Yarrowia lipolytica: one gene and its partners. The protein of the gene in region 1 binds, or shares a complex with, the protein of each later gene. Links are inferred from orthologs where the notes say so. Each region holds a gene or a part of one and is shown in the gene's direction. Other genes may lie near its edges.

The links.
Region 2: YALI1_D14276g (region 1) and YALI1_F07675g share a complex: the UniProt entries of both Saccharomyces cerevisiae proteins name them as parts of the RNA polymerase III (Pol III) complex. The link is inferred for Yarrowia lipolytica from reciprocal best matches to the Saccharomyces cerevisiae genes RPC25 and RPO26.
Region 3: the proteins of YALI1_D14276g (region 1) and YALI1_D26142g are in contact, whole or in part, in a cryo-EM structure (PDB 7Z0H), measured with the Saccharomyces cerevisiae proteins. The link is inferred for Yarrowia lipolytica from reciprocal best matches to the Saccharomyces cerevisiae genes RPC25 and RPC17. Residues at the interface, in NP_012778.1 of Saccharomyces cerevisiae: Phe2, Ile3, Leu4, Ser5, Lys6, Ile7, Ala8, Asp9, Gln17, His19, Arg20, His28, Asn31, Asn32, Lys33, Phe34, Ala35, Asn36, Lys37, Ile39, Asn41, Val42, Cys45, Ile46, Thr47, Ile48, Tyr49, Thr71, Arg73, Lys78; in NP_012523.2 of Saccharomyces cerevisiae: Met1, Lys2, Val3, Leu4, Glu5, Glu6, Arg7, Asn8, Ala9, Phe10, Leu11, Asp13, Glu15, Val16, Phe19, Leu23, Arg48, Pro49, Tyr50, Asn51, Pro53, Glu54, Leu55, Ile58, Asn61, Val62, Asn64, Tyr65, Ile68, Asn71.

What each region holds. Positions count from the first base shown.
Region 1 is NC_090773.1:1,420,483-1,431,461, forward strand, and holds YALI1_D14276g (uncharacterized protein), read left to right. Parts: upstream 1-7,173; coding exon 7,174-7,782; downstream 7,783-10,979. Other genes in the region: YALI1_D14199g (uncharacterized protein), read left to right, coding at 201-1,067; YALI1_D14224g (uncharacterized protein), read left to right, coding at 1,958-3,325; YALI1_D14260g (uncharacterized protein), read right to left, coding at 3,456-5,591; YALI1_D14300g (uncharacterized protein), read right to left, coding at 8,247-9,557; YALI1_D14304g (uncharacterized protein), read left to right, coding at 9,960-10,850. UniProt on the Saccharomyces cerevisiae protein: DNA-dependent RNA polymerase catalyzes the transcription of DNA into RNA using the four ribonucleoside triphosphates as substrates. Specific peripheric component of RNA polymerase III which synthesizes small RNAs, such as 5S rRNA and tRNA.
Region 2 is NC_090775.1:762,443-773,167, reverse strand, and holds YALI1_F07675g (uncharacterized protein), read left to right. Parts: upstream 1-5,482; coding exon 5,483-5,511; intron 5,512-5,632; coding exon 5,633-6,062; downstream 6,063-10,725. Other genes in the region: YALI1_F07747g (uncharacterized protein), read left to right, coding at 1-601; YALI1_F07699g (uncharacterized protein), read right to left, coding at 1,224-3,191; YALI1_F07655g (uncharacterized protein), read right to left, coding at 6,370-7,077, 7,388-7,442, 7,506-7,579; YALI1_F07630g (uncharacterized protein), read left to right, coding at 10,103-10,725. UniProt on the Saccharomyces cerevisiae protein: DNA-dependent RNA polymerases catalyze the transcription of DNA into RNA using the four ribonucleoside triphosphates as substrates.
Region 3 is NC_090773.1:2,609,036-2,619,575, reverse strand, and holds YALI1_D26142g (uncharacterized protein), read left to right. Parts: upstream 1-5,397; coding exon 5,398-5,877; downstream 5,878-10,540. Other genes in the region: YALI1_D26186g (uncharacterized protein), read left to right, coding at 840-908, 976-3,882; YALI1_D26146g (40S ribosomal protein uS13), read right to left, coding at 4,174-4,585, 4,936-4,982; YALI1_D26114g (uncharacterized protein), read right to left, coding at 6,247-7,741, 8,054-8,181; YALI1_D26084g (uncharacterized protein), read right to left, coding at 9,811-10,540. UniProt on the Saccharomyces cerevisiae protein: DNA-dependent RNA polymerase catalyzes the transcription of DNA into RNA using the four ribonucleoside triphosphates as substrates. Specific peripheric component of RNA polymerase III which synthesizes small RNAs, such as 5S rRNA and tRNAs.

The sequences.
Region 1 (10,979 bases):
GCCCACACGTTATTACCACTCTGCGATCGAGCCCGCAACTCTGCTCTGTTGCTCTGACCACCGCAAGAACCGTCTCTCTCTGGACTCGCACACTTGCCACACCCAATTGCGCAATAACCTCGCCCAACCTAATAGCTTATCCCAAACCCAAGACGGGTGCAAACAGCCACTTGCGCTTGTCCACACACAACCTAACACAGCCCTGGGCCCCCATTGCTGCCACCTCTGTAGTTGCCGCCGCCGCCTCTTCCTACTACTTCTCCAACATGGCCATCTCCAACGACGCTAAGACCGCCACCCTCAAGGGCGACGACCAGTGGGTTGATCTCAAGCTCAAGTCCTCCAAGGACCTGTCCCACAACACCAAGGCCCTCATCTTCGAGCTCCCTACCCCCGACTCCACCCTCGGTCTTACCACCGCTTCCGCTCTCCTCACCAAGTACGTGACCCCTAAGGGCTCCAACGTTGTCCGACCTTACACCCCTGTTTCCGACCCTGACTCCAAGGGCGAGTTTGAGCTCGTCGTCAAGTCCTACCCCGAGGGTAAGATGTCCAAGCACATCCACGAGCTCAAGGAGGGTGACACTCTGTCCTTCAAGGGTCCCATCATCAAGTATCAGTGGCAGCCCAACCTCCACAAGGAGATCACCCTGATTGGTGCCGGAACCGGCATCACCCCTCTGTACCAGCTCATCTCTGCCATCAACAAGAACCCCGAGGATAAGACCAAGGTGAACCTCTTTTACGGTAACGCCACTGAGGGTGACATTCTCCTCAAGGACGAGATTGACGCCATCGCCAAGGCCAAGCCCCAGCAGTTCAACGTCCACTACTTCCTCGACAAGCCTTCCGACAACTGGAAGGGTGAGAACGGATTTATCTCCGAGGAGTTCATCAAGGGCAACTCCCCCGCTGCCGACTCCGACAACGTCAAGGTCTTTGTCTGCGGTCCTCCTCCTTTCTACAAGGCCATCTCCGGCGCCAAGGTCTCTCCTACCGACCAGGGCGAGGTTGACGGTGCTCTCAAGAACCTCGGTTTCAACAAGGACCAGGTCTTCAAGTTCTAAACTAATTGCTAGTTAAACAATGTATCCGTGAACAATACGTTATGATGAGTGATGTAAACATATATTGTAGCTAATTCTATAGCCAATTGAGCCTTCAATCCGAACACTTGCAAACCAATTGCCTCTTTTACAACTCCTGGATTCTTACACGGACCCGTGTCTGACTATACATGTGCACCAACTTTAATGTTATGACTTAACTGAGAGGATGCTCAGGTGCCATCGAGACACTACAGATACTACAAGTGGTTCATACTGTAGCTACAGCAACAAACAATGGCGCATGTCCTGAAGCGGCTAAGATACAATTGTAATTCATAGATCTCTCCCATGAACATACTTCGTCTCCACAGCTTCCGAATTCCGTTATATTCTGCTTTCCATTAGCCGCCAAGTCGACATAAATCAATTTGTCAGCCTGAACTCTACCTTAGTGTGGAGAATATGAGGTCAAGAGCCGTGTCCTAGCGAACCAGTTGTGTTGTAGTTACGTTGTAGCTGTAGTCAGTGTCTGTAGTCAGTGTTTGTAGGTACGTAGCCAGCTGTACAACTGCTACAATGCCGCTTTTACAGCTGAATATGATACAACGCCAGTACCACTCCTTTATGGCACCTTATGGACTGCTCTGCTCTTACTATCACTCACTCTGAGTCCATGTCTTTTGTGTTATACCACTGTCTCATAATGGCAGGAGCTGTAATAGCATGTATGTGGAAAAGGGATTCACAAAACTGCTGATTGGACTTTGGCTCGAACGGGCGACGCTTTGGAGTTCCACTACGACTCCGTCCTTTCTCGGTATCTCCCCCACACTGCATGCATTAGAGTTCAGAATTTATCACGACATGAAAAAGGTACGGACAGATAGCTACTGTAGACATACACCACCATGAACGTCTTCTTTGAAGGATGTTGCCACGGAGCTCTCGACAAGATTTACCAGAGGGTAAAGGGATACCATATGCCCGTGGATCTGGTGATGATTGGAGGTGACTTTCAGGCCGTCCGAAACGAACGGGATCTGCTCTCGATGAACGTACCGGCCAAATACAGAGAGATGCACGACTTCCACAAGTACTACTCGGGTGAATCAACGGCTCCGTACCTCACCATCATCATTGGAGGCAACCATGAGTCGTCAGGGTACATGCAGGAGCTGTACTACGGAGGATGGCTGGCACCTAATATCTACTACCTAGGAGCTGCTGGAGTGGTCAACTATAAGGGTCTTCGGATTGGGGGAATCTCAGGTATCTACAACCAGCGCAGCTACAAAACTGGTCATCACGAACGACTTCCCTACGACAACTCTACCATTAGAAGTGTATATCACGTCAGGGCCCATGATGTGATGAAAGCTTCTCTTATTGATAACGGTATTGATATCTTCATGTCTCACGACTGGCCCGCGGGCATTGAGCACTTTGGAAACACAAAGAAGCTGCTCGATCAGAAGAAGCATTTCAGAATCGACGTGAAAAACGGCACTCTGGGGTCTCCTCCTGCAATGGAGCTCCTCAAGCGGCTGAAGCCTGCCCAATGGCTCAGTGCACATCTTCATTGCAAGTTTGTCGCCACTGTCGACCACGAGAAGCTGGAGGCGGCGAATGGAGCCACCAAACAGAGATCTTCTCCTGAAATCAAGAACCCAGACGAAATAGTTCTTGATGAGTTGGAAGACACGAACCACGAGACAGGTGAAATCGACATTTCTGAAGACATCGACAGTGGAGAGACTGGAGAGATTGATATTTCCGAGGACGTCAAAGGTGAAACCGACATTGATGCAAACACCACACATGATGAAGCCACTCCCGTGATAGCAAAGAAACCTCTGGCCAAAAAGACTGACTTTCTAGCACTGGATAAATGTCTTCCTAAACGCCAATTCATCGAAAGACTCGACATTGACCATGAGCCTACCTCAGATGGGCTTCAATACGACCCCGAATGGCTGTCTATTGTGAGATGCACAAACCACCTTTTTACCAGATCACACGCCCTTCACCAAGCACATCCTCGAACTTTGGATGAACTGCAAGCTCTCAGAAAGATGGTCAAAGACGACTATGCGTGGGTCAAGGAGAACATTGTCGACAAAGGCAAGTTAGACATCCCCAACAACTTTGTCCAGACAGCTCCAGTGTATACAGGAGCTGATATTCACAATGTGTCTCAGCAGAAACAACTACCAAAATACAAAAACCCTCAAACCGAGCAGTTTCTGAGAATGCTCGACGTCCCTAATAAGCTGTAACATACTAGAGTATGAACAGATACTAAATCATTTGCATCTATCGGATAACTCGTCACTACAGGATAATTCCATTAACGTACTTTTCATTTCATATACATGCTTAGTAGACAGACAGACAACCCTACTACACTTAGTAGACTCGCTTGGCGGGAGGGACGGTAGGACACTCAGACTCATCGAGGGTGTGCATCTGGACGGCTCGGTAGCCGAGCTTGATCTCGTCACCGGGCTTATCCTGCCAGGAGAGGGTATGCTTCATCCAGTTGACATCGTCTCGGTCGGGGTAATCCTCTCGGGCATGGGCACCTCGAGACTCCTTTCGGGCGACGGCAGAGTAGGCGGTCTGCATGGCGCAGGTGAGCAGGTTCTGCAGCTCGAGGGTCTCGGTAAGATCAGTGTTCCAGATCATGGATCGGTCGGTGACACCAACCTGGTCAATGAGTCGGTCAACAGCAGTGATACCTCGGACACCATCCTCAAGAGACTCCTGGGTTCGGAAAACGGAGACATCCATCTGCATGGTTCGCTGCATCTTGTCTCGAATGGTAGCGGTGGACAGAGGACCGTCGGCGTTTCGCATCTTGTCAAGGTTAGCAATGGACTCGTAACCAATGTCAGCAGAGACAGGGGGAAGAGGAGCACCGGGGGTAAGAGTCTCGGTGATTCGGTGGGCAACGGCTCGGCCGAAGACAACCAGATCGAGCAGGGAGTTGGCTCCAAGTCGGTTGGCACCGTGGACGGAGACACAGGCGGCCTCACCACAGGCGAACAGACCCTCGACAACCTTGTCCTGACCGTTCTCATCCTGAGTAAGGACCTCACCGGTGTATCGCGTGGGGATACCACCCATGTTGTAGTGAACGGTGGGGAGAACGGGGATGGGCTCCTTGGTAACGTCAACACCAGCGAAAATGGCGGCGGTCTCGGAAATACCGGGGAGTCGCTCGTGGAGCACGGAGGCGGGCAGATGCGACAGCTGGAGGAAGATGTGGTCGCCGTGCTGGCCAACACCTCGGCCCTCTCGGATCTCCAGGGTCATGGATCGAGACACGACATCTCGGGAGGCCAGATCCTTGGCGGTGGGAGCGTATCGCTCCATGAATCGCTCACCGTTCTTGTTGAGCAGGTATCCTCCCTCACCTCGGGATCCCTCAGTAATCAGACAGCCGGAGCCATAGATACCGGTAGGGTGGAACTGGACAAACTCCAGATCCTGGAGGGGAAGGCCGGCTCGGGTGACCATGGCCATACCGTCACCAGTACAGGTGTGGGCAGAGGTACAGGAGAAGTAGGCTCGTCCGTAACCACCGGTGGCCAGAACGGTCTTGTGGGCTCGGAATCGATGCAGGGTTCCGTCCTCCTGGTTGTAGGCAACGACACCGACACAGGCGCCGTCCTCCATGAGCAGGTCCATGGCGAAGTACTCAATAAAGAAGTGAGTGTTGTGTCGGAGAGACTGTCCGTAAAGAGAGTGCAGCATGGCGTGGCCGGTTCGGTCGGCAACGGCACAGGTTCGGTAGGCCTGGCCTCCCTTACCGTAGTCCTTGGACTGACCACCGAAGGCTCGCTGGTAGATTCGGCCCTCGTCGTTTCGAGAGAAGGGAACACCGTAGTGTTCCAGCTCGATAATGGACTTGGGGGCCTCCTTGGTCATGTAGTGGATGGCGTCCTGGTCTCCGAGCCAATCGGAACCCTTGACGGTGTCATACATGTGCCACTTCCAGTTATCGGGGTGCATGTTTCCGAGAGCGGCGTTGATACCTCCCTGCGCAGCGACGGTGTGGGATCGGGTGGGGAACAGCTTGGAGATACAAGCGGTGTTGAAGCCAGCCTCGGCCAGACCGAAGGCGGCTCGGAGACCGGCTCCACCGGCTCCAACAACAACACAATCGTACTCGTGGTCGACGACGGCGTACTTGGACGCCACGTGGGAGGGGGCCTCCTGGGCCTTGACGGGGCCGTTGGCGAAGACCTTGGCCACCACCGGGGAGGTGGAGAAGTGACGAGACTTGAGAACGGCTCGGGGGTTTTTGATAGCTCTAAGCATTTCTGTGTTAGTTGTGTTGTGGGGTTTTCTGCAGGCGTTGTGGGGTGGAGAGGTGTTTTGCGTATTCCGGTAGGTAGAGAATAGTTGTCTGGATGATTTACTGCAGAGTGGTCCGCAGTGACTGTATATAGTGGTTGTGGTATCAGAGGGTGTGTTGTGGGGATAGACTGTGAGAGCATCGGCGGTTGACAGACTGAAATTTTCAAGACAGTCTGACATTCAGAGTATCCCAGCAACTGGGTGAAAGAAGCAACACCGGTCAGGTTCGCGTGTACCTTTAAGCATTGGTTCTTGTTTCACTGAACTCGTGTCTGTACCACTTGCTCTCATTCACACCTCACATATCCACATGTCACACTGAATGTGTTGTCTAACATACCACGAGAGAACCACCAAACCATGGCACCGACAGAAGAGTGGACCATAAGAATGATGCTGCGAAGCATAGGCTCCGTTGTCATCGTCACGCCAACGCACTTGTGATAACCTCTCTCCTTCACGCTTGCCAACATGCTCGCCACGCGTACAGCCAAACAAGCTGCTGGGTGTCCCACTTCTCCTTTTGCCGAACGAAAAACCTGTTGCACTGAGAGATACCGGGCAAGACCGTCCACATCGTGGGTACGAATGGCTGCCGTCAATGTGCCTCGAAGCGCCCCGTCCTCCGCCGCGCAATTTGCTACTCACCGACTCAGATCGACTTGTATGGTCTAACCAAAAAGAGAGAGAGAAATAATCTGCGTGCGGCCAGTTGAAAGCCCACCGAGCTTAGGTAATGCGGGCCATTGGCCAATGACATGCGACCTAATACTCACCAAACAAAGTTTGGACACGTCCGGGATGAACCGGATCAAGATTCGCGGTGTTTAATTGGCGGGTTCGGCAAGACGAAGACGTGGAGAATCCGAATTAATTTATTCACATACTTTATGGGATACTTTTCCAACTCGCCAGGTGTCACAATCTTGACGGTAGCCCCACGAAACCTCTGGGGTATGACCACACCCATTCGCACCATGTCCTATTGGGCTAGGCTTAACCCCCGTAAGGTTTTCCGGAGAATTATTGTGGGGAATGACGGAGACACTTTTTAGCAGCAACCCCTAAGGAAAGGAAGTGCAATACGAGTGCCAACGCGGCGGTTGTGAGGGTTGCGGGCGTTCCTCCAGCTTACGTAATTGCTTCTTCTGCCCGTCTCACAGTACCGGTACGATCCCCGTTACAATCACAGGCTTAGAACACCTAAAATACGACTGCTGGGTGACCATGCCTCTTCAACGACTTGGGGGCGATCCTACTGTCGGGCTGTGGTTGACGTTTTTTTGTTGGTCGGTCGACATATCGGCCCGGGTTAGGGTAGTGTATAAATGGCACTAGAGCTGCTCGTATCCTCCGCCTCGTCGACGGGTGTCATGGCCAATTGCGTTGGGTTTAATTACCTTGGGAGTGGCCTGGGTTTTTTTTTTTTTTTTTTTTTTTTTTTTTTTTCTTGTGTGTTTTGTCAGTACAGTATGTGTGAATATTCGAAATTAAGGTGCTAAGGTGTCCGAATGGAGAAGAGCGGTTATCTCCGTATTTCTAGGAGGTTATTCCGCTTTGGGAATTTGTACGTTTGTCCTTATTAGGGGTGACTATCGTGGGCACTGCTGGTACCGACTCTTACTAAGCGACATTGGGAGTTGTGTAGAAAAAGTGAAGATGTGGTTAGGGATATGCAGTGCGATGCAGACCTTAAAAAATATCCAGCTACACCGTGCAACTATCATCAAGATTGTCTCTGAGTTGGGTCTCATCCATCGCAATGTTCATTCTCACGCGCTTCACAGATCTCATTCGACTCGATCCCACCAGCTTCAAAAAGCCGCTCAACGACGCTATTGTGGACGAGATTAACAACTGCTACGCTAACAAAATCATCGACGGAGTGGGTCTGTGCATCTGTGTCTATGACCTGATCACTGTCGGCGAAGGCCAGGTCATGTCCGGCGACGGTGCTGCATTTGTGAAAATCACCTTCAGAATGGTGGTTTTCCGGCCGTTTGTGGGAGAGGTACTAGAGGGCTGGATCTCCAGCTGTACCGCGGAAGGAATCAAGGTGAAGATGGAGTTCTTCGACGACATTTTTATCCCCGCACACCTGCTGTTTGAAAACTCGCAGTTTGTCGCCCGAGAACAGGCCTGGATGTGGTGTCCTGACGAGGAGCAGGAGCTGTTTTTGGATACCAACGAAAAGATCCGGTTCCGAATCGAACAAGAAAAGTTCCAGGACCTGCCTCCACTCAAGCAGGGCTACGCTGGAAGTGCTGCTCCTAACGACGAGCAGGACCCCGAGAAGCCAGGTGTTCCTCCTTACTCTCTGATTGCCAGTTGCCAGGGAGAAGGCATGGGTCTGGTGTCTTGGTGGGAGTAATCAACAGAACCATGTTCCTTCAGGTACATCTTGGTTGACGGTTGGAGGAGGATATATATATGCATTATTAGGTGTTCCGGACAGCACTCTGTATTCCGGGCACACTCTTGTGCTCCTTGGAGTATGGACACAAGGCAAACAAAAACAAACAAGCAAACGCAAAGAAAAGGACTGATTATGAAATAGGACTGCTAAGAAGCAGTGGGGTTTTATATAGATAGACAAAGTCACAAATCGCATTTTTATACAACATCAGGAATTACGTATCATCGACCTCTATCAATGTACTTGCGGCCAGTTACCTCGAGTGACGAGATGGTCAACCGCTCAAAAACGATTGAGGATAAGCATTACATACAAGTCTACGTTGTCTGTTACAGCACAAAGCGCGTCTCTCTACTCATTGGTACAAGTGCTTGTACCATTATCATAACATCATCTATTATTACCTCTATCTTCACAGACTAGTTGTACTGCATGTACTGAGAAGTACTGCTAAACTTGAGGTTACCCTTAATGACCTTCTCGACGGCAGCCAGGAAGTCCTTCTCAGTGGCGACCTTTCGGCGGGCTCGAATGGCAAACATGCCGGCCTCAGTGCACACGGATCGCAGCTCAGCACCAGTGGAGTTGGGACACAGACGCGAAATGAGCTCCCATCGGATATCTCTGTCGACAGACATGCTCTTTGAGTGGATTCGGAAAATGTTAGCTCGGCCCTCGAGATCTGGCAGTGAGAACTCGACCTTTCGGTCAATTCGTCCGGGACGCAGGAGTGCGGGATCTAGAGTGTTGGGTCTATTGGTGGCAAACATGACCTTGATATTTCCTCGAGGATCGAAACCGTCGAGCTGAGTGATGAGCTCTAGCATGGTTCTCTGCACCTCATTGTCTCCTCCGGCTCCGTCATCGAATCGGGCTCCTCCAATGGCGTCGACCTCGTCGAAGAAAATGATGCAAGCCTTCTTGGTTCGAGCCATCTCGAACAGCTCTCGGACCATCCGGGCACCCTCACCAACGTACTTCTGCACTAGCTCGGAGCCAATGACACGGATAAAAGTGGCGTCTGTTCGGTTAGCCACGGCTCGTGCGCACAGAGTCTTACCGGTTCCGGGGGGTCCGTATAGAAGAATACCCTTGGGAGGGTCGATTCCGAGGTTGACGAATCGTTCGGGAGACAGCAGAGGCAGCTCGACAACCTCTCGCAGCTTCTCCAGCTGCTCCTTAGAGCCTCCCACGTCCGAGTAGGTGACATCGGGCTTCTCCTCGACCGTCATCATGGTGACGGAAGGGTCGATTCGGGGTGGCAGAGGCAGCTGAATCTGGTACTTGGACCGGTCGACTCCCACTCGCATCCCCTCCTCGATATCTGTGGGCGACACTCGCTCGCCCAGCGACACGACAAACTTGGCGATCTGCTTGACGTTGATGACGTACTTGCTCTTTCCGGGGTCTTCAGCAGTCTCGATAATCTTGGTGCATCGAGCCACCTGGAGAGGATTCTCCTCGCTCATTCGCTGCTTGTCCATTTGTGTGTCCCACAGGTGGTGCGGGGCCAGACCTGTGTCGGACTCCTTGATGCCGACCTTCTCCTGGATTCGTGCTTGCATGTCCTTGATGTCCTTCTCGATGTTCTTGAGGGCAGTACCATAGGGAGCAGTTCCGTACGTCTTGAGTACCTGGATGTCGCCCTCGGACAGAGGAATGATCTTCTCCTGCGCGGCATCCTCGTCGATGGGGGCCTTGTACTTTTCCCAATCAGATTTTGGTGGCATTGTATGTGGTGGTTTGTGGTGGTGGTGTCGTGTGGTGTTTGATGTGTGGGACTTTTGGCTTTGATGGAGGTTAGGTGGAAGGTGGCAATGTGCAGATGCGCGGTTGCACTTAGTAATCAGGTGGCAACAGAATGGAAGGAGGGATGATAAATGGTCACTTGGATAGAAATAACAATCTGACGATTCCCAGAGGAAATGGCTATTTAAAAGTTCCCCACGTGGCCATGCTCTCGTTCCACGCAGTTCTACTGCCTTCCACCTGGTCCAAGTAACTACCAACTGTACTCCTAACAAAAATACTTAGAATATGCCTATCAATAACCTCATCGCTATCAACCTGCATATGGAGAAAATAAAATCAATTGTAGCCAACAATACACAACACTTAGACAACACCCATGAATGTCGCAAGCGACCAATAAATACTACCCGCCAGATTACGACGGCAAGTCGTCCGCCAACCAGCTTGCGGGAGCGAATCCGCGCAAACCAACTGTCAGATTCGAGCTTCCTCTGTCTGCCAAATGCCATGGATGTGACAAGACCATAGCTCAAGGAGTACGGTTCAACGCGGTCAAAACACGCCACGGCAGCTATCTGTCGTCTCCCATCTGGCGCTTTGATATCAAACATGCTGAGTGTGGACATCCCATTGTCATTGAGACGGATCCGAAGAACGCTACCTACGTGACCGTAGAAGGAGCTACCTTCACACAGTCGGTTGTGAAGAGAGAGGAAGAAACTCCAAGCAACCCTTTTGAGGCGGTCGAGCGTGAAGTCGTCAAACAAAGGGCTGCAAAGGCCGAGGAGGAGCTCAAACAACGTCATATTAAGTCCGAAGACAGCAGAGAGACAATCGCTGAATGGACCTTCAAATCGTCGGTGCTTTCGGCTGATGACGCGGCCAAAGAGACACAGAAAATGTATGATGAACATCTGGACAAAGCCAGATACCACCAGGACCTGTCATATAAGATGAGGAACAGGTTCAGAGGTCAAAAACGCGCATTGGAAGCCCAAGACCAAAGAGACAACCTTCTCAAGGACAAAATGGGACTTCTGCGGGATCTACCTCTTGCTAAGGAAGCGCAAGTGATGGTTCCTCACCTGGAAAGGGGTTTAGTGGCGGAGCAAGAACTCAGGTTGAAGTCTCTATCCCACGGTGGACTGTTTGATTCTACCAAGCAGAAAGGATCACTTGCACAACAAACTAGAGAGCTCTCCAGAACGCTACAGTCTAAGCCACGGCCGAAATTGAAACTCAGAGGGATCAAGAAACCGGCCAAACAATAATGCCAGTATATACTGTACTTTTACTACTATTTATTCTTATTACACTACTTAATACGCCCTGTATACTCTTCATTTTCATTTGGCACCTGCCTCTATTATTAAAGTACATCTACTTAAAACCCCATGCTA
Region 2 (10,725 bases), on another chromosome or scaffold:
GCAGCATAGTGGCAAGAAGGGCAGCATCAGTGGTAGCAGCAATGGAGGCAGCAGCAGTGGAGGAAACGGCCCTGGTAGCAGTAAGATTGCGCCCCAGCCTCCTTCGCGACGATCCTCTTCCGTGTCTGCCTCGCCAGCACTCATGCCCAAGATCTCTCCTCAAATCAAGCCCATGATGTCCGAGGGCTCGTCCCTGGACTACCAGACGCTTCTGGCGACAAAGTCCAACTATCAGAACATTGTTGAGGGCAAGCACAACGCTCTGGGACTCCAATATCCTGAGCATCTGAGTGTGAACATTGCCTCCAAACGCACTTCGCACAAGCTGGCGGAACAAGGCCGACGAAACCGAATCAACAACGCGCTTGCCGATCTCGGAAAGTTGCTTGTGCCCGAGTCGGCGTCTACATCTAAGGCCAACACCGTCGAGAACGCCATTGACTACATTCGCAAACTCAAGACGGAGCTGGTCGAGGTGACCACCAAAGCCGATCGTCTGCAGGCATTCCTTCAGGCCAAGGGTCTGTCCGACGAGTTCGAAGCGACCATGGGGGTGTTGGTCAAGGAGGAGGATAAGAACTGGCAAGGCGCTGAATCCTAGGGGGGAAGCCGAGGCTGACACCTAGCTAGCGCCAGAGATGCAGCATGCAGCCAGGTATTGGTATTTATATTTATTACAGTAATGGAGAGAAAAAATACGAGTGTGGTGTAGACAGTTCATCAGCGCATAACGTACAGCAGATAGTACATACAATGCAGAGGGATGATACGGATACTAGAAGGGAACTGAATTACTGCACTCTTTTTGATCAACTTGATATCTGCCTGTGGTGTATCTCTTTTTCATTTATTCTAACATCTGTTCACCATTTGGGTGTATCCTTGTTTAGTTCGCTTGTTGGCTCTTTATGGGAGTTGGTTCATTTTGGGGCTCTAAAAAAAGGTGGAGGTTTGAGAGAGGGTTGGTTCTGTAGCTGATGTAACAGAATTCAGAAAATATCTTTTTTTGTACTAATAATATTCTCTTCTGTCGAAGATTCAAGATTTTTTAACAAGTACCGTTTGTTAGCAACTTTGTGGGTCTGTACTTGACCACAAGGTGATAGTTTTGATATTGATCCTTTCAGTATACACCTAGTCACGACCGCTCCCTACCGCTCCCATTATAAATGATATGCTATTGATCTATGTATGCTAACGTTCTTTTTCTGATGCTTTCCCCCCTACTGTCGGAACAACTCCGGGTCAATAGAGTCCTTGGTAAAGTTGACCTCTTCATTGGACGAGTACTCCATATCATGTCCGCCAGCCAGAATCGAATGAGACAGGGCAGGCGACACGTAGGCCGAGGACATGGCACTGAGCGGCAACGAATCAAATGGAGCGTACTCCACAGCCTCATTGAGCTGCTGTAGTGGAGCAGGAGACCCGATGGATCCCGGAGTGGGAGTCTGGGTAGGGTATGAAGTCACACTGATAGGGCTGGTGTGTTGGATGGGTTGGTATGAGTTGCCATACATGTGCATAGGGCTCTCGGAGTGTGCACGCTGCGGCACCTGAATGATGGGGCTGTGCAGTGGGCTATTGTACGAGGAGTTGGACTGTCCTCGGGGGGCGTTTCTGCGCAGTCCAGGAGTAGGATAATGCAGGTTTTTGTACATGTTCTGAGAGGTAGTGTTAACAGGTTCAACCTCAGGCGTCTCTCCACGAAGGTATGCAAGATGGATTTTGATGTGGGCGTCTGGGGAGGCCTGGTAGCACTCTGCCGGCCACTCGGTGCGGTGTTCGTCGCTCATGTGGTCTCGGACCTCGGTGAGAATGTGAGATCCAAACGGACAAACGGCGCAGTTGGTGGCATGGTTGGCAGCAACGTGGCGGTCGAGATCGTACTTACGGTTGAACCGATGCATACAAGTCTCGACCACGCAAGGGATGGTTCGAGAGTCCGAGTAGCCGGCTCCGGTGATTTTGTCGACGATGCTGGCAGCGGTGTTTGTGGGTTTGGAGACCTCTCGCCGTTGTCGTTTGGCTGGGCGTTCGCTAGGCAACTGGTACTCCTCTTCCCCAGACTTGCCCTCCAGACTCGTTCGCTCTGAACGGCCTTTTCGCGTCAGCTTTTCGGGCTTTTCAAAGTACGGAATGATCTCGGGTGTAATGTCGTACTCAGCCACCGACTCAAACATGTCGCGAACAGGGGCCTTGTTGTGCGACACGTAGTGTTTGGCATACAGGTCCTTGTCGAAGAATTGGTGACCACATGACTCTTCAGGGCACGTCCAGAGTTGCCGCACGTAGCCTGGAGTCCGGTGGCCGCCTCTGTAGAGAACAGACAGACCGTGCACGCTCTTCTCATGCTCGTACATGGACTGCACGTCGTCAAAGATGCCTTCGCAATGGTGACACAGCCACCGGTTGTGCGCCTTTGAAACATGCTTCTGCAGCTTGATCCACTGTGAGGCCACCTCTTCGCACTCGTCATGCGGACACTTGTACTGCGGCGTTTGGTTGTGGTCCCGTTCCCAGTGGTATTGCATCTGTCTTTCGGAGCCAATAGCGCGTCCACATTCGGGATAGGTACACTGGTGCTTCCAGGTGGCGTGGTCGGCCACACAGTGCTCCAGCAGCTGCACCTCGGTGCGACACTGCTTGGAGCAGTCTTGGTGTGGGCAGTGTTTTATCGACTTGTGGGTCACCTCATGACGCAGCAGGTGCTGGCGCGTGTTGAACCCCTTGGCGCAAAACGAGCAGTGGTATCGTTTGGCCACCGTGTGACTGTTTGTGTGGGCTTTGAGATGCGAGCGGCGGAAGAAGCCCTTGCCACAGCCCTCATAAGTGCACACAAAGCACCGCTCGTTGTAATGGGACCGTAGATGTTGTTTTAGGAGCGATGGCCGGCTGTATGCCTTGTCACAGCCCTCTTCGGGGCAGACGTGAGCCAGGGTCCGTTTGACGGTGGTTTTTTCCTTGGGCACATTGCCGTTCCACGCATCGCCGTACGTCTCTCCACGGGTCGGGAAAAACAGACCCTTGCGTTCTGGCACTCGTTTGGGGTTGCCATGGGCGTCCTTCACCTCAATCCACTCGGAGGACACCGGCGACGACGCCGAAGACGCCGCGGACGTTGGCCGGGACGGAAGGTCATAGTGCGTGATGCCATCTGGAGTATCCGACAATTCTGCTTCGTGAAACATGCTCTTAGAGCTGACTCTCGAGAGAACAAGAGGTGGATCGCTATATATGTAGGGGGAAGAAAAAAATCCTGTATCAAAACTTTATTTGGCTGAGTGGGGGTAGAGGGTCCTGTAGATAACGCTCTGGGGGATACATTCAAATTTTGAAAAGTGCAGATTATTCAGATTTGAGCCGCTATTTACTGCGATACAAATACATCTTTCGCATAGCTTCTATCGTCTTCCTCGTGGACACTCATCCTTCCCCCCCCAAGCAAGAAAAAAATAAAGGCGTTAACTTTCATTTTTCCCAACGGTACCTCGTTTTTTTTGGATGGCCCAAGGTACGTTCCAGAAGAGCCGAATCGCCACCAACGAGTCTGAAAATGGAGCTGTGACCAAATTGAGACATTTGAAACAATTTCACGTGACCAAAATGATCCCTCCATGTCCCCCTACTCCCGGAATTCCTCAAAATCACTTTGCGTCACGGTACATAAGACATGCATCTGTCGAAAAATATATTTAGCTGGGTCAGGGTGGTGTACGGGAGCAGTGACCATGCCGCTGGTACTGTACCTACTGTTGTGAAACGGTAATGGAGTTGGCGAGCACTACCGGTAGCGGCGAAGTGGGTAAAATGTACGCCCTGTGTCTTTAACTAGCCAATCAGAGCGTTCATAAAAAGGAAAGTCCACTGGATTTGCCACAAGCCATGCCTTTCTAGTTGCCATTGTAACACCCTCACGCTCTCTCTCGCACTCCGCTCGCCACCTTACATCCTGTATCCTGTAGCATACATTTGACAGCGTCTGTGCAAACCAAATACGAATGACATGAATGCCTGCAGGAGACGCAAGTGGGCCCAGAGTGAGCCACCGGGGCCTATCATATGTCCTACGAGTCATTACAAGGTCTCATAGCGGATTGGGTGGTGGTTGCGGAGCCTGTTGATTACTTGGGCGTTAGTTGGAAGACAGTAGGCTGATGATGAAGATTCTGGTGATATAGAGATGCCGCAAGGATGAAAAGTGGGTTTGTGGACTATCAGAGAGAGACAAATGGAATTATTCCCGAAAACTCCACCTGCTATATACAATTTTCACGAGATTTCGTTATCGTGGATAGCACTTAGATGCAACAACTACACGACATTGTGTGACAGTAGAAGTGAAAAATTCTACAAGTATCAGTACTGATACTCTGATAATCTACAAGTATCGGTACTAGTACATACTGTACTCTGATAACCTCTCCGTGTACAGTCATATCATCAAAATGTATACGCAGTCACAGTCCCTCATATTGAAACGGGCAGTAGCTCGCAACACAGCATTGTATGTGACAATGAGGGAGGATAACTACACCAAGCAAGTGAGGAGATCACCCTGATTCACATGGTAGTATTAATATCCAAAACATGGGGTACCTGGGACGAGTAGAGTGGCTCACAGGTGTGTTTCTACCCGAAACTGGTTGGACACCGAGGTGAAATCGTGAATAGTTGAGATACAAGGTAACAAAAGACGGGAACAGATTATTCAGACCCGGTTAGGTTGGTTTGACTGCTGGAATTTCGGATATGCAATTCTCAACGCCGTTCAGATCAACCCTCTTGTTACGCTGGCAGGTTATGAAGGGAGAGAAGAACAGATTGTCAACACATTACGTGATCAGATATCATCATCATCTCAGACATAGTGAGCATATTTAAATCGTCTGTATTGGTTGTATATCAGTTACTAACATACAACCAACAAGCACGAGTACATACTGTACTGTACTTGCAGTCGTAACCTGCTCAGATACTCCTAGATGTTTCAACTAAAGTTCTAACAAAGTATCAATGTCTTTCCCACAAACCAGCATCAACATATCAACTTTTTTTGTATTGCAAGAGAGTCATTTTAATTCATATTAACACTTCTCAAAGCTGTATAATTCAAATGGAATAAATACTAAGCATCTACCATTACTGTAACATTGTATTTGAACCTCCAGCTGACTTTTGATCTTAACAAATCTCCAAGTAATCTTTCCCATAATCCAAACCTCGCGCAGTAAGTAATCAAAAAACAAGACGACAGAACGTTCATCCGGAACACACAAGGTGCCAACAACCCACATCTCTGAAGTCGCGAGACTGTTTCTCTTCGGCGGTCCCCGCCTCCCCGGGCCAAATACTTCTGGCTCCTCCTCCATTGCAGCTTAGTCATATTGAACTTTGATTGTTTTTTTTTTTGACTGGGAGTACATCAAACCTTGCGTGGAAAAACCATCATCACCACATTTCAGTACCACACTTGATCATCATGTCTGATTACGGTGGAGACGAGGAAGCGTGAGTAGGGGTAAGGAGCGCCAGGAGGGATCACGTGCGTTTTATGGGGACGAACACGTGACTCGCGTCGTCCGATTACGTCCACAACATGGCCCAGCACCCAGCGCCCAGACTAACACAGATTCAACGACAACTTTGAAAACGCCTACGAGGAGGAGTTTGAGGAGCACGTTTCGGATGTGGAGGAGAACGGCGAGGAGGTGAAGACGGACGTGGCCGAGGACGGACGTCAGATCGTCAACGGAGAGGGCGTGGAGAACTTTGAAAAGGCTGTGCGACGAAAGACGGTCCGAGAACTGGCCATCCCTCGAGAAGAGCGAACTACCACCCCATACATGACCAAGTACGAGCGGGCCCGAGTGCTGGGTACACGAGCGCTGCAAATCTCCATGAACGCGCCCATTCTCGTGGACATTGAGAACGCCACGGACCCTCTGCAGATCGCCATGAAGGAGCTGCAGCAGAAGAAGATTCCTCTGGTGATTCGAAGGTACCTGCCCGACGGCTCCTTCGAAGACTGGGGATGCGACGAGTTGATTGTCGATCAGTAAGTAATTGTAAGATAGCATAGATGGTTTGGAAAATGGAATGTGTCCTGTAGAGTACTGGTCGCCGTACATAGGTGCATGATCATGATATTGTATCACGTAATGTATCTCAGTAAAACGTCCGGGGGCCTTTCTCTCTTGGACTCGTTCATCTGTGATGGTTATAATCGATGTCCCTTACATCCAGCTGATTCATCCATCTGGTGCATCCATTTGAGCTGAGACTGCTGCTCGTTTGTCCTTTACGATGGCCATACAATATAATACATTTTCTACCTCTAACCGTTTTACTAGTAGCAGTCCCTTCCTTCTACTCTCCGTAAATCCAAAACTGACAGAAAATGACAAAGTCAAGGAACAGAGTGCCAATGGCTCCAAGCAGCCACGAGGCGTTGATGATGAGATACTGCCGGCTGGTATCTTTGAGCAAAATGGAAGCCACAGCAGTGAGGTTGCCGAGACAGGCAAACAGGAAGAACATGAAGGAGATACCCTCGCACGACTTTCGCTCGTAGTTGAGCACAATCTGAGGCACCCGAGAGCCCAGGTAGAAGGCAGCACATAGCCAGCCGAAAAACTGACCCAGCATGTTCATCTCCAAAGGATCGTCGTGGGGCTTCTCGGGCTTACCGTCCTTGTGGTTGTTGGACGAGAAGACGTAGCCCAGAATGCCGGCAGCGATGACGGTGGCCACCATCAGCAGACGGTAGAAGATGACCTTGGCTCGCGGCACGGGTTCGGTCACGGGAGCAGGACGGGGCTCGGCATCGTGGCTGGGATCGGCCTCAAGAAGAGGTGTGGCGGGAGACAGGTGCTTGAGATCAACCATCTTGTTTCTGTGTGTGTACACCAGACATTGCAAGAGCAGCAGAATGTCGGCCAGGGTGTAGTAGATGGCGAGGATGATCATGGTGGGGATGATCTTTTGGAGGATGGCTCCGAGCACATTGAAGATGTCTCCAATGAGCCAGATGACGACGAAGGAGAGAGACAGTCCTTCTGACGATTGTCGTTTGAACTAGGTTAGTGGGAACGACAACGACTGCTTGTGGTCATGGTGGAAGCAGGTCTACAGGTTAGGGGATGACTGACAACAGCGTCACATCTGGTACCGGTTTCTATCCAAGTCCGCAAAAGTCCGAAACTGAAATCTTGCAACTGGAGCTCATAAGTCAACGTCACTTTTCTCGTGATTCATACCATAATCACTCCACGGATCTTGGATATCAGCTATTGCAAAGTAACTTGTCGGCGTATCGAAATAACCCCATTCGTTGATATCCCCCTGCCACTCTGTCTGCATCACTCCCGGTATCTCCGATACTCACATTCTCATAAATCTGGGGCGTGAAAACAATGATCCAGCAGGCGATGGAAATGCATCTGTGTTAGTATGATAGCAGTTCTAAAGACACCAGGTCGGTCGATTTCCCCTCTCTAACTCACCCCATAATGCCGCTGAGGGCTGATGAGTCTAGGCCATGAATTGGAGGTTGTACTGCGGTGTACACGGCGTCCATATCGAGTCGTCGTGTGCGTGTCTGTGGTTGTGGAGAGACAGATTCCAGCTGCGATGACTGAATGTGCAGACGCTAAATAAGGTTGGCATTATACGGGAAAAAAAGGGAAAATTTCGCTAAAGCAATTTTAACGATCTCGAAGAGGGAGGTCAGGAAGGGAGTGGTGGAATAGTGGGCAGATAGAAGGAGCAGTTTTGTAGATAGAAAGAGCCGTTTTGTGGCGTTTGGAGAGAGAGCGGTTTCACGAGAGGTTTATCTATATATCACGACCGTCTCCGCCCACTCTCATCAACTCGTCGGTGCATGTTTGCTGCTCAAAGTTGGAGTTAAAGCGCCGTCTTTCTGACTACAGTACAACCACATCAAGTACAAGTACTGGTATGTACTGTGTGTACTATGACTACATCATCGTACCTACAGCAGCTCCATGTGTAAGGCAGATGATTAGTGTACATGCGCGTGATCAGTGATGGTCTGTTTCCGGACTCTTGTTTCAAACCTGCACTATACTATCAAATTAGTCGAAGTGTTAGTTGAAGAAAAATGTCCATGGAGAATTGTTATGTCCGCTGCGGAGATACTATTAGTATAACAATAGTAGAATGATGGTGGGTATACTTATCGATAGCTATAGGTTTGAAAAAGACGGACTTCTCTTAGATCCAAGTTTTTGTAGCAGAAATATCCCCTGTTGTCGACATTATAGTCCTCCTTAGATATGCAATCATAGTTGAGTTATTAGTTGGCTTTCTCGACAATTCTCTAGATACTGACCATGTTAGTGGATCGGGTCAAATGTCATCTAGGCACTTTATGAAGTTTCAAGAACGTAGAACAAGATATATTCGGCACTGTAGAGATATTCGGCAAGTGTCAGCGTACGCAGACGGATGGAAGTTTACTTATAACGTCATCTTCTCAACTGACAGACCACGCAACTGCTGGCGTTGATTTCTCACATGCTCGGAGTTAGTCTCATCTGTGGGAGCTAACTCCGGCAGCACTCTGAAGAGCACCAACAGAGCCGTGGCAATAGTCATTGTGGGTATTCATCATGTCTTCCATAATCTGATACCTCATCTTGCAAATATATCACTCAGCATGTTCATATTCGGGGTTTCAACAGTTCGAGAACAGCATCAAAATACTTCGTAGAGTAAGAAGGAGAGCCGAGTATCAGAAGTGTTGTTTACAGAACGTGTTCTGTTTCGAGCCGAGAATCAGAAGCTGTTGTTTACAGAAAGTGTTTCATTATTGTCCGTTATAATCACACTCGCGCATCATCAATTGATGTTTCCCCCCAGCTGTTACCAAACACACTGTAGTTGAATACAGTACGTACAGTACATACTGTAGATGTTGTCGGAGTAAATACTGTAAGTCGTGCTCTCAGTTGGACTCGTACAATTGGAAGAGTCCTATAGTAAGAATAACTACTACAACGGTTCATTCACAGTATCTTTCAAACACCTAACAGAAAGATCGAACATACCTCTTTATACCCTCAATATTGTTGGTCTGGACGCATGTTAGTACATCTACCACTCAATGGTACATGTATGGTACATGCTACTAGTACTGTACATACAGTAGCCGACTGTGCCTCTCAGCGTATTGAAAAGTAATCGAGTATTGCCCAAGTAAACTAAATACCACCAAAAACTTCTTGCATCTGACTTGAGGATCTTCAAACCATCTTCATACCGCCCTTTTCGACTTCGGGTCCTTCAAACCACCTCTACCGACTACCCTATACACCTGAGCTCACTCCAACCAACTCCCCCAATAATCATCCGATCTTGATAATTTTTACACCATTCTACTCCTCTAGTTATTTCTACCACAATTCTCTCTTCAGAAATTCAATCAATTCAATATTACATCAACCATCTCCAGCTCTCGACCATGCAGTATGGGCATTTCGAATGCCTTTTTTTTGGGCAGAATTTAGACTTTGGAGCAGCAGCACAGTATGAGACGACCAAAGACGGGGTCTACAAAACCTATAAAATGGCAGTAGGAGGGAGCAACTGGTCGGGATCACGTGACTATAGATCCTCCCGCGGTCGCCCAATGCATTTTGGGGCTGTTTGGGTCGTTCCATAACCTCCTATAGCCGTCGAGTCCGCCCTCCCCCCGTCCCTGTCCCGACCTCTGTCCGTTGAGTTGCACGTAACCCCACAAAAAACAGAAACCTTACCATTTAAGCTTTCCACCGCGCCAGTCGATAACCGTCCTTCCAGAGCCGGGCCATATATAGCTAAATGTATATAGCTTGAGTGTCTCGGAGTAGCCACTCACTCATCTCATCACCACTCTTCATCTCAGTCACAAAGGAGCGAAGTCCTGACTTAAAGAGAGAAAAGCGACATTTCGCAGACACACAGGCAGAAGTACGACACAAACAGAAGCCCGGTTCAGAAGACATACTTGTACCTAACGCCCATCCATTAGGCAAAGTCACAACTACAGTACGATACTTGTACGATACATCACATTCACATTCACACAGGCTTGCAAAATATGCTTACAAGACTGCGACCTGTTTTGAGGGGTGGCGTGAAAGCGTCGTTGCCCTCGCTGACAAAGACCGTGTCACCTCTTCGTGGCTACTCCTCCCTGGTGGCCTCTCACGACTCCCCCAACCTGGTGAACCTCTCTGAAGCCCCCTTTCTGCTCAACTCCGCCAACGCCGCCCTGTCTCATCCAGAACTGGCAGGCACAGCTGCGGCCGAGGGCCAGGCCAAGCAGCTCAACCTGTACCAGAGTGTGAACGACGCTCTGAAAACGGCGCTGGAGACAGACGAAACTGCCGTGCTGTTTGGAGAAGACGTGGCCTTTGGAGGCGTGTTCCGGTGCTCCATGGATCTCCAGGAGCGATTTGGAGCAGACCGGGTCTTCAATACCCCCTTGACCGAACAGGGACTCGTGGGATTCGGTATTGGATACGCTGCCTATGGATCCACAGCGATCGCTGAGGTCCAGTTTGCAGATTACGTGTTCCCCGCATTTGACCAGATTGTCAACGAGGCTGCCAAGTACCGTGCTCGGTCGTCGTCCAACTTTGACGCCGGAGGACTCACCATCCGAATGCCCTGTGGAGTAGTTGGCCATGGCGCCATGTACCACTCTCAGTCCGGAGAGGC
Region 3 (10,540 bases), about 1.2 Mb from region 1:
GTTCGAGACTTCATCAACAGTAGGGTGGTGGTCGAAGACTCAACATGTGGCCCAAGGCAGTGTGTTTGGGGTTAGACATGTTTGCCAATGAAGAGGTCTCCAACCACCTGCTCACCACTGCTGTAGACAACAAAAGTCCAGCCGTCTGAGTTGTCTACATACAGTCTGTCATTCCAATGGTAGTACTCGTACTCGTAATTAGTAGTTGAAAAGTCGACCGTGGAAGTAGATCATGTTCTATCCAAGTAGACTACGAGTAATGGATTAACACATCTCAACGACCGCTTCCGCCTGACGCTCATCATGCAAACCGCTCTCAGCACACGTGCGGCGAAGACTGCTGAAGTTGAGGTTGTTCACATGACAGCGGTGCCTAGTCAGCGGCCGTTTTACAGTGCGAGCGTATCTGAACTTAGCGGGTGGAGTGAACCTGGTAGGTGTGTAGTCACGTGACGGAATAAAACAAAGGGGAGGAGGGGCGGGACGTAGATACACATCACGTGACTCCCAAGCTACCTGGTCACGTGGTCACACCTATCCAGTCTCCAGTTTCCAGTTGTACAATGTACAGTACATTCTACATAGTTCTGTCTCATATCCCGAAGACTGTCTATGGAGTGGATTGGGGGAGAATTTGTCATGAAGAAGGAGAGCTATGTACTGCAGAATTGGTCAGGTGATATTCCACAAATGTTACGATAAGTAAGCCGTTGCGATTCCATAATTGTCACCATTCTTTGTAATCCATGCCATAAGCGCTTCATCTTAGTAATCAGTTTGAGTTTCCGCATGGTACAGTTAGATGCGGGAGTCGCACCTCGAATCATCACTTCATCGACATGGACTTCAACGACAAGCTGGCGACGTTGACACGGGTGTGTTTGGCTCGGCGAGTGTCGGCGGGCAGGGTGAGTACGACTATGGAGTCATGTGACTTTCTGTTTTTCAATTCGACGGTTTGCCTTACTAACACAGTTTGTCAAGCTGACTCGACATTTGATGGAAAATGAGGGCGCCTCGGAAGTGAATCCCAAGGCGTTGTTTGGAGCCAACACCTTCGACTTGTTGTTCTTTGCATATGTGCACAAGCTGGCGTTTGAAGACAGTCTTTTGCCCCCTTACAAGCTTCTGGCGTACCTCAAGGTGTGTGCCTATGGCCGTCTTCCCCAGCTGCTCATGTATCTGGGCAAACAGCTTCAGGAAATGGACACAGACGTGGATTTGGGTGCCAATGCGGGCTACAGCTACTTGATTCAGGTTCTGGTTTCGTTCATGAAGGACGCCTTTGCTTCTGGAGGTGGGATGCGAAAGAGATATGGAACGTCTATCGCCAAGGGGTTCGGGTTCTTTGCCGAGGTCCTGTTGACCCGACTCGGAGACAGAATGGCCGGAGTGACTGCTCCCGAGATCACCTCGCAGCTCGCAGAACTAGCAAAGGTCGATGCTACCATTGCCGGAAGACTGGGCGAAGCCTGGATGGGTCTCAAGGGCGCAGCTAAGACCAGCACCACAGCTGAAACAGTAGCGGCAACCGTGGCTACACCCACGACTCTCACTAGACTTTACAGAGACACGCTGTTTGAAAGCCTCATGTTTGGAGACTCATCCTGGAACCAGTATGGATCCCTGTTCCAGCTCATCAGCACGGTCTATGCCATGCCCGGGTACCCCACTCTGGCCTCGCAGCCCGTGCAGTCTCGTCTGGCAATCATTGGCGAGGTTATTTGCGCCATGTTTGACTGTCAGAGCATCACTTTTCTGCGACGAGATTCTGCCAAAAGAAACAACTACTGGAAAAGCTGCATCCGAACACGAATCCCGCGCATTATTCGCACTTTGTTCCCGCACTCGACACCCGAGGAAAAGACGCTCATTCAATCCGTCGTCTCAAAAAGTGTTCTGGGCCTGGATCAGCCTACCGTGACCCTTATTCGTCTTTCCATCGGTTCTGACGAATTAGACGACATGTTCTCCTCGTTCCCGGGTGGCCTGGACGTTGACATTAGACACGAACTGGTTGCTGCATGCATTTCCGAAGGAGTTCTGCCCAAAGACGCCTTCAACGCGATTTTCAAAGACTCAGGAATCAGCGTAGAAGCCCTCGATTACGCAGACGAGCTGACGATCGACGGACAGGCTATGAGCCTAGATACAATGGCAGAGCAGCTGAGCTACGAGAATCTCGAGATTGGGTCTGTTTCCGACTGTCTCATGTCCAAGGTGGTCGCTCAGATGGAGAAGCTGAGTGGAAACGCACAGGAAGCGCTGACCAAACGGCTGCTAGTGTGCCTGGCAGACTTTGTGCAGGCAGGAAACGTTCGACCAGTACGATACATGTGCCAAGCTTTGGCACTGAACACAACTGCTGTCGACATTATGGCCCTTTGTGTCGATCCCATGCTATTACTCAAGGCTCTGGTCGACTGCATTGAGCTATGGAGAGAGGAGGAGGACGAGGCCAACTACCAAGAAGCTTACACGGACTTTGGAGCCATTGTGGTCTTTGCCATCACCCTCAAGCAGCGCTATCATCTCGATTTGGCCCTGTTGAACCAATTTGGAACACTCTTTGTGGGTGCTCCTTCGCCCTCCAGCACCATGCCATCACACGAGTTGTTTCTGTCACAGCTTCTCACAGAAAGCGACTCTTCACAACGCATTTTCCATCTTTCCGACGAACAGAACGACCAGCTCAGTGGATGGGCTACCGCTCTGTATGACGCTGGAGGCATCTCCGACGATCTAATGCGATCGTCATCCGTAAAGCAATTCTTTCTTGTCACCCCTGCCATTTTTCAACAAAGCATGCTCGCCCACGAGAAGGGCCTACTTTCTCTGTCGACCTTCAAGGGAGGCCTGGAGTATTTTTTGCAGCCCTTTCTGTTGGGATCAACAGTGGGAGTGTTCAAGTGGTTGTCGGAACAACTATGGGTGCATTCGCAAAAGGGACACGACGAGCAGATGAGTACAGTTATATCTGTTTGTTCCACTCTAATTCTCACCGATAACACTGACATTGAGGTCTTGTCTCCTATTCATCAAATGGTGCTGGCTATATGTGCTGACGAAATGTACGAGGCTCTGGATATGGCTCTGAGGGCAGGCTACATGGTTGAAAACCGGGTGTTTGAGTTCCTCGAGCCTTTTGTTTCGGCCATCAACTACAATCTCAACGTGCAGCGAACAGTGTCGTCTTCTGGTTTCCGATCGCAAAAGGGAATCGGTATGAGTGGGGGTGGAGGAAGTGGTACCAAGGAGCAGACGTGGAAATACGGTGCTTCCATGATTGCCACCATCAAGGAGCAGGTGTCGTCACTCATCAGTTGGTCGCAAAACCAGTACACGGGTCCCCCGTTTGGATACGAGCTTGTGATGATCCTGTCGTCGGTCGACACTCTGGGCCATAAGTACGTTCTGGAGCAGCTGATCGAGGAGATTGCGCTGGCGGACTCCAACGGCACAGGCCATTATACCGTGGAAGTTGTTGCTACGATTGCTACGGTTGCATTCATCATTTCCACGTCTGTGAAGAGTCCACGACCGTTTTCCGACTCACAGCTCATTCTCAAGTCACTCGATAACATGGTCAACGACTCCACGGGCAAGAGCAAGGACATTTGCGTGCTGCTGCAGTCCAAGATTCTGCAGTTGTTGACTACAGCAGGCTACAAACCCGACGGAAGTCGTCTGGACGGCAAACCACATGCTAAAGAGGACTATTCGTTTGTGGTGAACCGAACGGGCGAGGTTGAGAATAAGCCCATCAACGACTCGTCGCAAAACTCCAACACTGACAACCAGTTTATGGACACTAACATGTTTGGAGGCGACGACTTCACCATGGACTTTGGCGGCGACATTGACATGCCCGACTTGTTCTAGGGTGTTTGTACAGTAATTTTATTCATATTTAATCACATGTGTAGGCGATGAGACTGCTATCTGCTCAACACAGTGTGCGATATACCCAGATTTGCACGCAGAAGGTCCAATGTGATCCACTGCACTTGAACCTGTGATTCTCGTCACACACAGCTGGGAATGGTGGTACAGTACTTGTCTACACACAGCCAAACGGCCCAAACATGTCCTGCTACAAACCGCGGCCTGACCTGGTCAGCCCTACACATGTCCTCAATAGCATTTTAATAATTTTACATGTACATGCACGTTTTAACCTCGGTGAGCCATGATCTTACCCTTTCGAGTGGTAGTCTTGGTGTGCTGACCTCGGACCTTGTAGCCCCAGTAGTGTCGGAGACCTCGGTGGGCTCGGATCTTCTTGAGTCGCTCAATATCGTCTCGCAGCTTGACATCAAGCTGGTTAACGAGCAGCTGGGAGTCCTTACCGTCGGTAAAGTCTCGCTGTCTGTTAAGGAACCAGCCGGGAATCTTGTACTGACCAGGGTTCTGGATGATAGTAACGATTCGCTCGAGCTCCTCGACGGTGAGCTCACCGGCTCGCTTGGAGAGATCGACATCGGCCTTCTTGCAGACCAGGTTGGCGTATCGTCGACCAACACCCTTGATCTTGCACATGGCGTACATGACCTTGATTCGGCCGTCAACGTTAGTGTTGAGGAGTCTGAGTTAGCAAAATACTTTCTAGTGGCTGAAGGGAGTGATCACCGATTAGTGGCCCTTGATGAGACTGATCACGATCCATCAAATCTCAAGCATCATAAAAACGAAGTGGTAGGCAGAAGTTGACAGTCAGACAAATGTACGCAAACAGGTAAGAACACATAGTGTAAACACGCAGAACAAATGCTCAAACATGTTCAGTCTGCTTGGTCCTTTCCATGTCGCATGACCCGTCTTTACTCATCATTGACCTTCTGTGCCTTCTGTATCTCCATCACAAACCACCATATCGAGCTTCAATAATCGTGTAATAAATTCTCTCCCTGTTCTCTCTGTGCTGTCTGTACATACCGAAGAATGTGCTGGAAGTTGCCTTGTTCAGTGACGACGAGGGACATTTTGGCGTGTAGTTATGGGTCGACCGGTGATGATGAAAGAACTGGTGCTTTACACACTGAACTTTCGTTTGCAATTTTCCGAGTCCAACTCTATCCAAAACGGAAATATCATGTGACACTTAGGGTTAGCCCTAAGAGCCATGAAAACAGAGGCAGGAGGACAACGTGCGGTCGTAGGTTCGATCCCCAAAGATGTAAAACATTTAAATTTGGGAGTTCCAAAGCTTAAATTAAACCAGCTCTGGGATTGTGGTCTTGCTTACTAAGCGCACAATTTGAGAAGGGCAAAAATCTACCGATCCGAGAGTATTCAAAAATACAGCATCACAGTGACACAGATATCCGTTTCGGGTGTCTTGGCACATCTTACAGCCTTGTACTCACGTGTGTGGATCTCCTAAGATGCTGTGAGTTCATGCACACCTTGCATAATTCAGAAAAAAAGTGTTGTCGTGAATATACCAGTATTATCAACAACATGAAGGTGGAAAAAACTCGAGAGGCTCTGCTGTCCAACTTTGAGGTGCTGGCTCACGTGCGGGACCAGGAGCGTGCCCGACGAATGTCCCAATCCGCGTCGGCAGCCTCCAACCAGGGCACTTCCCATGCCGAAAACCTCGAAACCGTCATCTACGAGCTCAAGGACTATCTCAACAAGTCTCCTGCTGCCAGCCAGTCGCCAGAGGCCATTACGTTGTTTCTGCAGAAGATCAACCATCTGGGGCTCGAAAAGGCCGAGCGATTGCAGCTCATCAACTCCGTGCCCACGTCTATCGTGTCGTTATACTCCCTGATCGAGGAGTGCGATCAGCGTTACAATGAGGACCAATGTGAGGAGATTCTGGACGCGATTAGAACAACTCTGGTCAGTGAAGAGGATGCTATCGCTGAATAGCGAGTTCACAATGAGCAGATGCCGAAGACAAGGCTTTTGGCAGTCGACTCAACCATGACACACCCAAAACAATGTATACTACGGAAAAGTGTGGAGGACACGTTTGCATATAATTTAATGAACAATAACGATTGATCAATCAAGTACAAGTACAAGTACACACGAGAGTTGATAGTGTCATAAATACCGTTACCAGTTTTGTTTCTCTTTGTGGTCTTGTTCATCGGAGTGTATACAGTATCAGCCCAATGTCTACACCAAGATTTGTACAGAGCCATCAACTTTCAAAGGCAGTATCGGTGTTGTAAACGGTATGACTACACTGCAGTGTGTCGCAAAACATCTATAATATCATTATCCAAACCCATTTTACTCGCCCTTCTTTCTAACTCCAGACACGATATCGTCGACTCGCAACAACAAGCAAGCAGACTCAATGGCGGTCTTGATACTCTGCAGCTTGATGGCAGCAGGCTCCCACACGCCGTACTCCTTCATGTCAACAACCTTTCCGTTGTCACCGTCAATGCCGTATGTGGAGAAACCCTCGGCTTGCTTAGCTCGCAGGGTGGCCAGAGTTCGAATGGCATTACCACCACAGTTCTGAACCAGGGTTCGGGGAATCACCTCCATGGCATCAGCCACGGCCTTGAAGGGCCACTGTGCAACACCCTCGATGGTCTTGGCATGCTCGGCCAGTCGCACGGACACAGCCATCTCTGTAGCACCTCCTCCGGGAGCCAGCTTGGGCTCGAAGAAGACGTTTCGAGCCACAGCCATGGCGTCAGCCAGATTTCGCTCAATCTCGTTGAGAATGTCCTTGGAGGGTCCTCGCAGCAGCACGGTGCATGCCTGGGGGTCTTCGCCTGTGATAAATGTGTAGTACTCATCACCAATCTTGGAGATCTCAAACAGGTTGCACAGAGTACCAACGTCGGAGTCCTTGATGTCCTCGATTCGGTTGACGATGGTGGCGCCAGTGACTCGTGAGATTCGGTTGTTATCGCTCTTTCGCATTCGTCGAAGCACACTGCAGCCGCCCTTAAGCAGATAGTGCTGGGCCAGATCAGACACACCCTTCTCGGTGATGATCAGGTCGGGTTTTACCGATAGCAGCACCTCGCACTGCGCCTTGATCTGCTCCTCCTCCAGCTGCAGCACTCGGTTCCAGTCGGCCTCCTTACTGATCTCAATGTTGGTCTGAGATTCACCCTTCTTGTACTCGAGAGGACAGTCAAGCAGCACCACACGGGGAGACTCGATTCGCCGTCGCATCTTGGGGTGGGTGATATCCTTGTTGATCATGACACCGTCCAACACACGGGAGTCCTCAATCTCACCTCCGGGAATCTTTTCCACTCGGACGTATCGCTTGATGTCAACCTCCTTCTTGCCGTTAATGTCGACAGCAACGGTCTTGACGGCCTTGAGAGCCAGAGAGGACATCTGCTCGGACCATCGGGACACGTACTTGGTGCCGATGGAGGCGGCAATGAGCTTCTTCATGGCAGCCTCGTTGTTGACGTCAACGGGAACAGAAATCTCCTCTACAACCTTGAGAGCCTCAGCAAGTGCATCCTTGAGGGCGGCGATGATGACAACGGGGTGAATGTTCTTCTCCACGTAGGGGAAGGTCTGAGCAAGAATCTCTCCGGCAAGAATGATGACGGTGGTGGTTCCGTCTCCAATCTCCTCGTCCTGGGTTCGAGACAGCTCGATCATGGACTTGGCTGCAGGATGGGTGACCTCAATCTCTCGCAGAATGGCGTGACCATCGTTGGTCAGGGTGATACCTCCCATGGGGTCGAGAAGCATCTTAAGCATGGCCTTGGGACCAAGACACGTTCGCACAATATCGGCGACACTGGGTTAGTGACATTTCTGAGGGTGGTGGATGTTGGATAAGCGTAATGATGGAACCGGCGGAGTCGACTCGTCGGGAGGAGTTCAATGGTGGTGTTGCATTCCCCCAAACACGACTCTACAGCTTGATATCACCACAAATCAAATGTCCGCCCTATAAGAAAAGATGGCCGAAGCAGCTGTCCACAGCCAAATTGGAAGTCCAAACAACATATAAAGGGTAAAACAGCTACCCCAAACGCCCCAATTTGCCTCCAATTTGCTTCAGAGGCCGTCCACCCCTCCAATTCCACCCTCCACACTCCATACTCACGCCTTTGCAGCAGTAATGTTGCTGGTCTGGGCCTTTCGTCCGATTTGACGTTCCTGGCCGGCGTCTGCAGTTAGTAGTTGTTCGTCGATTGTGTTTTTGCGGCCCCTTTTGTATCCACCGGGTACCATTTCGCATGGTGTTCTTAGTCATGTTGGAGTTACACGTAGAGCATAACACCAGACCTAGGTGGCGATTTGTGCCGCAAAACCCGTCGCGGACAACACGGGGCAAGTCGTGGGACGCGGTAGCACGCAATACTCACTCATAACAACGACAGGAGCTTGCATTGTTGTTGATTTTGTGGTTGATCTGAATGTGCACTTAGCAGAAGAAATCAAGATTTCGAAGAGTAGAGAAAAGTTGGGATAACTTTAATGCGTGGCGAGGCGTCTTGTCTTGGATAAGCTGACTAAGCGGTAGAATCCTGCGGAATCTCGTGGAAGGAGAGGAAAATATTTTCCAAAAGCTGCAGTTGGCTTTTTGTGGTGAAATTGTCATGCGACTGTATATTTTTATTGATTCTGCTGGTGCTTGAGCGTGTGTTGTGGAGTGAGTCTCGAGTGTCATGATGGCATAGAACCATCTGAAATACTCGAGGAGGTTCAAATGTCAAGAAAATACCATTAAATCCGGTCATTATGAGCTATTGGAATACATATTTGAAGTCCCCATACACCCTTCTCTTCTGGTTCTAGCTCCAGTGACGGAGATATGTGTTTGAAGAGCCTAAGATGTTGTTCCAGGACCACCATGGGCGACGGCAGTACACTAGAGAAGTAAGAAGTTGTTTGGAAGAATACACAAGTGCTCAATATCTATCTACAATCTTTTATTTATGTACCAAAGCATCTGGTATGTTTTTATCTGAACATATGTCGCAGCAGTAACACGAGGCGAGAGAGAAGACTCTAGTGGATCAATTGGATCAGAAGAAGAAAAATCACTTCAACAAGTGAATTAAACGGCTCTTTATGTCCGCTAGACACATATTTGGGGGTGTTTTTTCGGCAGATATGGACCATTTACTTGTACATGAACATGAACATGAACATGCAAAAGTGTGTGTATAACAGTGGGAAGAACAGTCGTTGTAGACGTTTTCGAGGTCATTTGGGCACTAGACAAGCCCCCATAAACACCATCATCCGATTAATCACAACTCTCCAGTCAATCCACTCCATCTCCATCATACTACAAGTACAAATACTGTACTTAGAACAGTTTTTCTCGTACACCGTATACAGTAGCACCGGCTCCTGTCTTACTACTAATCTACAAGTAGCTGTACCAAGCAAAAACTGTTGTAGCTCCAATCCAGGTTCAGTGATAAATACGTACTACTTGACATTCACGAATCAAGTATCCAATTCAGTCAATCAAAACGTCTTCCCTTTGACATTTCACACATCTGTATGAACATGACCACTTGGATCCAGGCTCCTTATAGGTAATCGTAGTCTCCTTCAAGTCAAGTACTGTACTCGCACTCGCACTCGGACTCCTACTACCAGCGGAATGTACATGATTCCTACCAATACCCACTTGTACTCCCAATACAACCCCTGAGTCCCCCTGCACTCATCCCTGTGCACGCTATGATGCCTCTTGGTTAACCTTCAGTAACCCAATCACTATTTTGTTAGAGTTGGGAACACGTTACCAGTATCAAGGTACGGACATGTTCATCAATAAATAGCTCGCCCAGCGAGCTTGTGTATTATTATATTGCTGGAACAAGAGCCGCACAAGGGTCTCGTCTAGGTCCGTAAAATCTCGGCGACCTTGCTTTGGTCGAAATTAACATCTCGGGTGTGAAGTTCGTCAACGGGTGGAGGTCCCGAGGGCTGGCGCACAGGAAACATAAGATCGCCATCCCGCGACTGAGGCTGTCGACCATCCTTATTAGGAGACGTAAATACGTTGGTGGACAGCGAAGACGCCTTTCTGTGTCCTCTTCGGAAAGGCGTTTCGGGGGTGCCCACCGAAGACGACCCAGCGGGTCCCTCGGGCGATCCTCCGGGGCCTGTCCCTCGAGAATGCTGACTCGCATGCCCTCCATGCAAAGCTCCGGCGGTGCCTACGGGGCTGCCGGGAGCCAACCCCACCATGCTGGTACTATTGGAATGCGAATGAGAGTACGAGTGCTGCATGTAGGGGTTATTTTGGGCCGTGACGGGCGTGGGATGGGCCAGAAAGTTGGCCGACGATGGCCTCTGGATCCGTGAAGGAGAAGCGGGCCGACCCGGACCCAACCCGTAGCCCAACCCGCTAGGAGCATTGAATCCATGGCCCCCATGAGGTGGACCAGCGTGCTGATGACTGTAAGAATCATCCAGAGGCGACGCCAGCAGCTGCTCGTGCAGCCACTGATGCTGCGAGTGGTGGGCCGGCAGCGTGGTGGGTGTGAATTTGTGTCCCCCCGGCGCCGAGCCCGGTGCTCCAGCGACCTGGGGTTGTGCGGGCTGCTGCTGGCCCTCCTGGATGGCC